2 linked regions of the Callithrix jacchus genome follow. The protein of the gene in region 1 interacts with the protein of each later gene in a pairwise test. Links are inferred from orthologs where the notes say so. Each region holds a gene or a part of one and is shown in the gene's direction. Other genes may lie near its edges. The genes, in order: EIF3G and MIF4GD.

Region 1 (4,316 bases):
ATACTTAGGAATAAGATGGGGCCAGGCGTGGTGGCTCACGCCTGTAATCCAAGCACTTTGGAGGCCAAGTTGGGCGGATCACCTGAGGTTGGGAGTTCACGACCAGCCTGACCAACATGGTGAAACCCCGTCTTGAAAAAAAAAAAAAAAAAAAGAATAAGATGTTGTCTGATAGAGCTGGCTTTGGAAGACCACAATATCTTAGTTTTTTTCCCCCTCGCTGAAAACCAGTTTTTGCTCCTGGGGAGTCATCATGAATCACTCCAGCTGAGGATGGTTGTTCTTAGAGCAAGGAGCTGAGCAATAAGCAAGTAAATGCACAAAATTATACCGGAAAGCCAAGAACACTACAACGAAAAGGAGGAGGAGTGGCTCATCGGGCCCCTTGACATCTGAATCTGTGGGATTGGGAAAGAAGGCAAGGAACAGTTTGCAGAAGGACTGTTTTCCCTGAGCCTCGGCTTTTTGTTTTTGTTTTTGTTTTTTCTTTCTTTTTCTTTTTTAGAGATGGTGGTGGGTGTGTGTCGGGGTGGTGGTGGTGGGGTTCTCACCCTGTTGCCCAGGCTAGCTACTCTCGAACTCCTGGCCTCAAGCAACCCCCATGCCTCAGTCTCAAAGTGCGGGGTTACAGGCGTGTGACACCTCACCCAGTCTCAGCCTCAGTTTCTTGAGCTGTAAAATTGCAATAATATCCTCCTCACCCTGCTTCATATACAATAAGCACTCGATCAGTGAACCTTGTTGTTATTATATCATTTTCTTTAACTTATTTTTCTGAGATGGAGTCTCACTCTGTAGCCCAGACTGGAATGCAGTGACGCGGTCTCGCCTCACTGCGGCCTCTGCCTCCCGGTTTAAGCGATTGTCCCGCCTCAGCCTCCGGAGTAGCTGGGACTACGAGTGCATGCTACCACACCCGGTTAATTTTTGTAGTTTTACTAGAAACGGGGTTTCACCATGTTGGCCAGGATGGTCTCGATCTCCTGACCTCGTGATCTGTCCGTCTCGGCCTCCCAAAGTGCTGGGATTACAGGCTTCAGCCACCGCGCCCGGCTTATTTTGGTTTTTAAAGGGTAGTAGGAGCAGCAGTGAAATCAGCCTCTACGCCCCCACCGCCCTTCCGCGCTCCCTGCTCTGGTACCAGCAGCTCCCAGCAGCATACACAGCCGCGTGCGCCTCCACCTCCGTCCGCAGGTGTCGCTGTGGATGCCGCGGCCGGCCCCACTAGGCGGTGTCCGCGGAACCGGAAGTCTCCTTTTACACCCACTTCCGCTCTCTAGCCCGGGCTTGGGCTGCGTGGAGAGCCCTTTTGCGATGCCTACTGGAGATTTTGAGTGAGTTGGGGATCACGGAAGCGGGTACGGGAGGCGGTTACAGGGCTCTGGGAAGTATTATGGGGCCTGGGTGCGCCGAGGCCGCGGGGGCTTGGCCTGGCTGACTTAATCTTAGCTCCCCACACACTTGTTTCCGCAGTTCGAAGCCCAGCTGGGCCGACCAGGTGGAAGAGGAGGGAGAGGACGGTAAGTGAATCCGTTTGCCCCAGGTCATCGCGGCCAGGCCCGAGCCGGTTCACTGCTGCCTGTTTCCATCTCCCAGACTGGCACCGTGTTCGCCGTCACGGCCAGCCCCTGCCCCGCGCCTTCATCCTTGGGGCTCGCCTGTTGCCAACTCCAGATGTTCCTTGGCAGGTCCCTCTTCCTCCCATGCCATTGCGCTAGCCCTCCCAGCTGTTCCCTTACTCCAGGGAGACAATTGTAATCTCCTGTCTCCTGTTTCTCTCTGGCGCCTGGATGGCTTCATGGCGTGGCCCCCACCTTCCTACGAGGGATTCCCCCATCCTGGCCACTCCGCGTCCCCACAGGGCCATCCCAGTGTACTACCTGGCCAGTCCTCTGCCCTTGGCCTGCCTTTCTCAGCTTTTGCTGTAGGCGTCATCCCAAAGGCCCTTCCATCTCAGCTGGGGAGCTCCTGCCCCTGGAGCTGACCCCTTCTCCCCACGCTGCTTCTCGCAGACAAATGTGTCACCAGCGAGCTCCTCAAAGGGATCCCTCTGGCCACCGGCGACACCAGCCCAGAGCCGGAGCTGCTGCCGGGAGGTGAGTGAGGACTGCCACTCCGTTCCGGGCTGCCTCTCCCTCCAGCCGTGCCGCTCCTGATGCCCGTGACCCAGGGCTCAGTTTCTTGCTCTTTTTCCCCTTCTCCAGCTCCACTGCCGCCTCCCAAGGAGGTCATCAACGGAAACATAAAGACAGTGACGGAGTACAAGATAGATGAGGATGGCAAGAAGTTCAAGGTGAGGGTGGGAGGGGGCAAGGAGTGAGGACCCTTTTCCTTGGGGACCCTGAGACCAGAAGAGGTTGGGGTGTGTTGAGTGGGTTGATAAAGGAGCTCCTTTGGTTCCAGGAGCCTGACCCTTCTCCTCTCCCATCCTCAGATTGTCCGCACCTTCAGGATTGAGACCCGGAAGGCTTCAAAGGCTGTCGCAAGGAGGAAGGTGAGATCCTCCTTCCCCAGGGATAACACAGAGGAATTGGAAAACTGTGTTCCCTGGACCTTTGTTTTTAAGAGATGGGACTTAACTCTGTACCTGTTGTGAGTCTGAACTGAGCCTTGGGTTCTTGTATTCTTATGGGGTCTTGAAAAGTTCAGGGCACAGGAGTTGATGATGATGCACAGTAAAAATGTTCAATGATGGGCAGGGGTGCAGTGAAAGTAGCCATGTGTGGTGGTGTGCACCTATAATCCCAGCTACGGGGCAGGCTAAGGCAGAAGAATTGCTTGAATCTGGGAGACGGAGGTTGCAGTTAGCTGAGGTTGCACCATTGCACTCCAGCCTGGGTGACAGAGTGAGACTGCATCTCACCAAAAAAAAAAAAAAAGTTTGATGATAAATATCGAATGATAGTAATATCAAATAAATTAGATTAAAAATATTGTAAGTTAGATTCTTTTATTTTTTTTTTAAAGACACAGGGTCCAGTCCTGTTGCCCAGTCTTGAGGGCAGTGGCACAGTCAGAGCTTACTGCAGCCTTACACTCCCAGGTTCAAGCCATCCTCCCACCTCACCCTGCTGAGTAGCTGGGGTTACAGGTGTGCACCGCCACACCGGGCTAATTTTAAGTTTTTGTAGAGGTAAGGTTTCTCTATGTTGATCAGGCTGGTCTCCAGTTCCTGGGCTCAAGAGCTTCCACCTTCACCTCGCAAAGTGCTGGGATTACAGGAGGGAGCCCCTGCGACCAGCTGTGGTTAGATTTTTTATTCCTCTTAGCCTGTCAATGGAGGAATGGAGCCAGAAGGTGGTCACAGCAGTTTCTGGAAGAAGTGATATCAATTAATACACTTGGGACAGTTTGCTGTGCGCTTAGTTTGTACCATACCTCATGCCAGCCACCTGGCAGGGTGTTTCTCATTTGATGTCCTTAGAAGCCCAGGGAGGTAGGAAGCTTTTGTGGTTCCTGTTTTACAAGGGAGGAAGCCAAGGCTCAGGCTGGGTAGCTCAAAGGCCTGGAGGTCTGGGTGGAGCCCCTTCACATCCCTGAATATTGAACCCTAGTGGGAGCTTGTCCGCCAACATGAACAGGCCCCAGGCTGTGTAGCTCTCACCTGGGGCCCAATGCTGACAGCTGCCCTGCCTCCTGGAGCTCAGGCCTGGCGGGGACTCAGGCAATAGGAACTGTCAACAGAACTGTTCAGGGAGTGGTTGAGGAGGATGAAAATGAGGTTCAAGGCCCAGACACTCCGGGGAAGGCTGTAGGTCCGGGACACCCCACTGTGGAACCCTGCCTGCCCCTGCCCTCAATTGTCCCCCATTCCTCCCTGAGCCCAGAACTGGAAGAAGTTTGGAAACTCAGAGTTTGACCCCCCAGGGCCCAATGTGGCCACCACCACTGTCAGTGACGATGTCTCTATGACGTTCATCACCAGCAAGGAGGTAAGCAGGGCAACCAGACTGGGCTGGGGTCCTGGGGTGGTGGCAAATGGGGTGCCTCAGCCACCTCTTTGAATTCCCCCAAACCTGCCCCTGCCAGGACCTGAACTGCCAGGAGGAGGAGGACCCCATGAACAAACTCAAGGGGCAGAAGATCGTGTCCTGCCGCATCTGCAAGGGCGACCACTGGACCACTCGCTGCCCGTACAAGGACACGCTGGGGCCCATGCAGAAGGAGCTGGCCGAGCAGTTGGGCCTGTCCACTGGCGAGAAGGAGAAGCTGCCCGGAGGTGCGTGGACAGGGGTGCTGGATGCTGTTGTGGGCTTGGTGTGTGTCGGGGGTCCTTGATCATTGCCTGTTATCTCCTGCATGACAGCACAGTGGGT
Region 2 (4,289 bases), on another chromosome or scaffold:
CTCCACCTGCCTGGCCTGTGGGGTTGCTTTCACCTGGGGGGAGCTCTCCATTCTGCCTCCCTCTCCAGCCCTGTGTCTGGTGTGGGTCCTGGGCTCCTTTTAGCACCATCCTTCCCTGCCTCTGGTCTGGGATTTTTGGGTCTGTCTGGGCCCTGAATGCTGGGGCTTCTTGGCTCTGTGCTGCTGGTTCCCAAGGTCCAGGCTGTGGTGGAGTCCGCGGGGATGCAGCTGCCTGAATGTATTTTTTATCTTTATTTTTGATACAGAGTCTCGCTCTTGTTGCCCAAGCTGGAGTGTAATGGCGCAATCTCGGCTCACCAAAACCTCCGCCTCCCGGGTTCAAGCGATTCTCCGGCCTCAGTCTCCTGAGTAGCTGGGATTACAGGCATGTGCTACCATGCTCGGCCACTTTTTTTATATTTTTAGTAGAGATGGGGTTTCTCCATGTTGGTCAGGTTGGTCTCAACCTCAGGTGATCTGCCCACCTCGGCCTCCCAAAGTGCTGGGATTACAGGTGTAAGCCGCTGTACCAGGCCGGAATGTATTTTTTATGAAATTCCGTTAAGTTTATTATCTTCCTTTCTCCTGGCCATTAGTTTCTTTTGCTGCAGCTGAGCATTCTTCTCCTCGTCCGTTTTCGGTGACCACTTTGGCGGTTCTTTTAACTGGAGGCCGCAACGCGGGCAGCGCCGGCGGCGCTTCTCCCAGTCCCGCGGCAGGAGCGGCGGCAGTTCTTCCCGCCTTCTAGGTGCCCTCCTGTCACCCAGAGCAGACGCGCCCCTTCAGGGGCACTCCCAACACCCGACGGCCGCGAGTTGCCCACGGGGCCCCCTTCTCGGGGCTGCCCCTCTGACCTGCAACTCGCTACGCCCACGTCCTCCTTGGAGAGGGAGGGGGTCGTGGCTGGCCCCGGCCCTGCAGCCCCTGCCTTCTCTACCTGGTTTGGAGGAGCGGGAAACGTGGTGTGACCAGGGCAGATACCGTCTCTCCTGCCACCGGGTCCCCACCACACTGTCTGCAGGCTTCTTCCACGCCGCGCGGCCCAGCGGTGTCTCCCGCCGCCTCACCCCCGTGCACCTGAGCTCGGGGAGGGCTGGGTGCGGGGCCACGCGCAAGACTGAGGAGCTGGCGGGTCCGGCGTGGGCCCGGGCAGGGCCGGGGCGCACCGGGTGAGGAGGGTACGGACCCAGCGAGCTCCACCTGGCTGGGGGTGGCAGCGTCGCAGGGTCCCCCGCGTCTCCGCCGGGGCCCCACGCGGGCGACTCGGCTTCCGGGGCGGCCGGGCGGCCAGAGCAGTGCCACCGGGGGCCGGCAGGTGGCGCGGACGAGCCGGCCCTTCCCCGGCGCCGCGCGAGGAGATGAGATCACGGCGGCCCCCGCAGCGCCTGACGCGAGTCGCGCGCTTTCAGCCGATAGGCGGCCCCGGGCACGCGCGCGCGCGCCGCCGGTCCGGCAGGTGGGTCCAGCTGCCCACGCCGCCTCTCCAGCCTGCAGGGACTCTGGACCTTGAGGTCCGCAGTCCGCCCTGTGCCGCCGGGAGGGGAGTTCCGGGCTCGTGGGGAGGGCTGGAGACCCCGACGGCGCCTCCTATGGCCAGAGGGGAGCCTCCGGCGGGAGCCACCTCTCGAGGGCGCATCATCCTGTGCCCCCAACCCCCGTAAGAGGAAGGATCCAGAATGGAGCTCAGGAATTAGGAGTCTCGAGTGGGTAGGGCCTGGTTGCCGCCACTTTGGGGCCGGTCCGACCAGTCTGTCCCGGGGAGAAGCTGGCAGGGTCGGGGAGTTCAGGCTGCGCCTGGCCGAGGCGGCGGACAGGGCAACCTGTCCCCATCCGCGCAGGCCGGCCCCACCCGGGAGATGCAGCAGCGGGTGTTTAGACCGAAGGACTCGGCGAAAGCCGGGAAGAGAGGGTTGGAGAGAGAGGTTTGGAGCCCTGCTGGGGACAGAGCCGCGCCGCTTGGAGTTCCCAGCCTGACCCTCACCCGGCATCATGCCGGGCCAGCAGCGTCAGGCCGGTGTCTTTAAGCAACTCTAACGTCCGCCCGCACACACCCTGCCCCAGTCCACCCCTGCCTCCTGCTGGGACTAGAGGGTGGGCGCTTTTCTGCTTCAGCTTCTCGCTCTTGTGTAATCCCACAAGCGTGGAGTTTCTAAACTGAGCAGCAGGTACCTGGCTGATGCCCAGTCCCCGCCAGAAGCCAAGCCTGGTGGGCCCTCAACCAACCACAACCATTGCACGCCACGGACTGCACAGAGCCCCTGTCCCGAGCATCGTCAGCCCTGCCCAGGGCCTGTAGGACAGAACCCTCCCTGTGCTCCACACCTGAGGTCGTTCCCTTCGCCTCTTCTCCCCAGGTGCTGTCCTTAGTCCCAGCCCGGTCAAGAGCTACCAGGGCTGGCAGGTCATGGGGGAGCCCAGTAGAGAGGAGTATAAAATCCAGTCCTTTGATGCAGAGACCCAGCAGCTGCTGAAGACAGCACTCAAAGGTGAGCACGGGAGCCCCTCCTGAGCTGGGATCAGGAGCCACAGAGAAGGGCCCCTGTGGGCAGCACCAGAGGGCTGAGCCTGGTGAATGCCTCCATCATTCTGTGATGATAGGAGTCGGCAGTGTAATTGTTGAACTGGAAGACAAGCTACATTTTAGGTCGTTATTCTGGAGTATGAGTCACAGTCACCTTTCAGACTGTAAAGACTTTTTAAAAAGCTTAACCATAGGGCCAGGCGCAGTGGCTCATGCCTGTAGTTCCAGCACTTTGGAAGGCCAACGTGGGTGGATTGCTTGAGTCCAGTAGTTCAAGAGCAGTCTGGGAAACATGGGGCAAACCCCACCTCTACAAAAAAAAAAAATTGAAAAATGAGGCCGGCATGGTGGCACATACCTGTGGTCCCAGATACTTAAGATGCTGAGGTAGGAGGACTGATTGAGCCTGGGAGGGTGAGGGTATAGGTTCCATGAGCCTGCCACTGCACTCCAGCCTGGCTAACAGAGCGAGACCCTGTCTCAAATTTTTAAAAGTTCAACCATAAAAAAAGAACACAGCTCCTACCCTTGAAGCGCTTACATTTGAATTGGCTGTTTCTGCATTGCAGTAGCCCCCTCTCTTGAATGCACAGCTGCCTGCTTTGAGACAGAAGATGGAGAATATTCCATTTGCCAGAGGAGGTATAGTTATTCCCCTGGCCCGATGCCTTCCTGCTGTAACACTCAGGACAGAAGTTTGTCTTCAACAATTAGCAAGACCCATCAAGTGCCAAGCCGAGCCTGTTGGGAGGCCCTGTGTGGCCCTCTCTAGTTGGGGATTCGTGTATGTATAGTATAAGAACACTTTTTCTTGTGAAATTGCTGTTGGAGACGTGTCCTGGTCAGTATTCCTTCCTCAGCCTAGTGCCAGGAAAAGATGCATTTCCTGAAAAACGATATTCTTATTTTGATTGGTCCCTTCCAGCCACATACCCTCCTCATTTTCTCTGACTGGGCAACCAGAAGACAGACAGCTAAAGCTGTTCATTTGTAAGGTTACTGTCTTCTATATGATTTTTTTTTTTGAGACAGTTTCGCCCTTGTTGCCCAGGCTGGAGTGCAGTAGCACGATCTCAACTCCCTGCAACCTCTGCCTCCCAGGTTTAAGTGATTCTCCTGCCTCAGCCTCCCAAGTAGCTGGGACACAGGCCCTTGCCACCATGCCTGGCCCATATTGGCCAGGCTGATCTTGAACTCCTGACCTTGTGATCCACCCGCCTCAGCCTCCCAAAGTGTTGGGATTATAGGCGTGAGCCACCGTGCCCAGCCAACTTTTTGTATTTTTGTAGAGACGGGGTTTCAAAATGTTGGCCAGGTTTCAAAATGCTGGCTCTCTGTATGAAATTCCTTTTTTTTTTTTTTTTTTCCCGAGACGGTGTCTTGCTTTGTTGCCAAGGCTGGAGTGCAGTGGTGCCATCTTGGATCACTGCAACCTCCGACTCCTGGGTTCAAGCAATTCTCCTGCCCCAGCCTCCTGAATAGCTGGGATAACATGAGATGACAGGCACAAGCCACCATGCCCAGCTAATTTTTGTAGTTTTAGTAGAGATGGGGTTTCACCATGTCAGCCAGGCTGGTATCAAACTCCTGACCTCAGGTAATCCACCCACCTCAGTCTCCCAAAATTGCTAGAATTACAGTTGTGAGTCATCGCACCTGGCCATGATTTCTAAGTACCATGCGCTAACCGATTGCACCACTGGAGCCACTGTCCTTGGTATGATTTCTGATCTTTCACTTCAAGCAGATGAGAATGCTCTCCTATAAA

Evidence for each region.
Region 2: the proteins of EIF3G (region 1) and MIF4GD interact in binary tests that used the Homo sapiens proteins (3 or more experiments, as listed by UniProt). The link is inferred for Callithrix jacchus from reciprocal best matches to the Homo sapiens genes EIF3G and MIF4GD.

What each region holds. Positions count from the first base shown.
Region 1 is NC_133523.1:9,307,486-9,311,801, reverse strand, and holds the start of EIF3G (eukaryotic translation initiation factor 3 subunit G), read left to right. Parts: upstream 1-1,271; 5' UTR 1,272-1,314; coding exon 1,315-1,334; intron 1,335-1,473; coding exon 1,474-1,520; intron 1,521-2,012; coding exon 2,013-2,096; intron 2,097-2,204; coding exon 2,205-2,293; intron 2,294-2,434; coding exon 2,435-2,494; intron 2,495-3,827; coding exon 3,828-3,932; intron 3,933-4,029; coding exon 4,030-4,219; intron 4,220-4,316. UniProt on the Homo sapiens protein: RNA-binding component of the eukaryotic translation initiation factor 3 (eIF-3) complex, which is required for several steps in the initiation of protein synthesis.
Region 2 is NC_133506.1:131,187,882-131,192,170, reverse strand, and holds the start of MIF4GD (MIF4G domain-containing protein), read left to right. Parts: upstream 1-1,407; 5' UTR 1,408-1,456; exon of another isoform or gene 1,457-1,707; intron 1,708-2,354; 5' UTR 2,355-2,404; coding exon 2,405-2,486; intron 2,487-3,090; coding exon 3,091-3,216; intron 3,217-4,289. UniProt on the Homo sapiens protein: Functions in replication-dependent translation of histone mRNAs which differ from other eukaryotic mRNAs in that they do not end with a poly-A tail but a stem-loop. May participate in circularizing those mRNAs specifically enhancing their translation.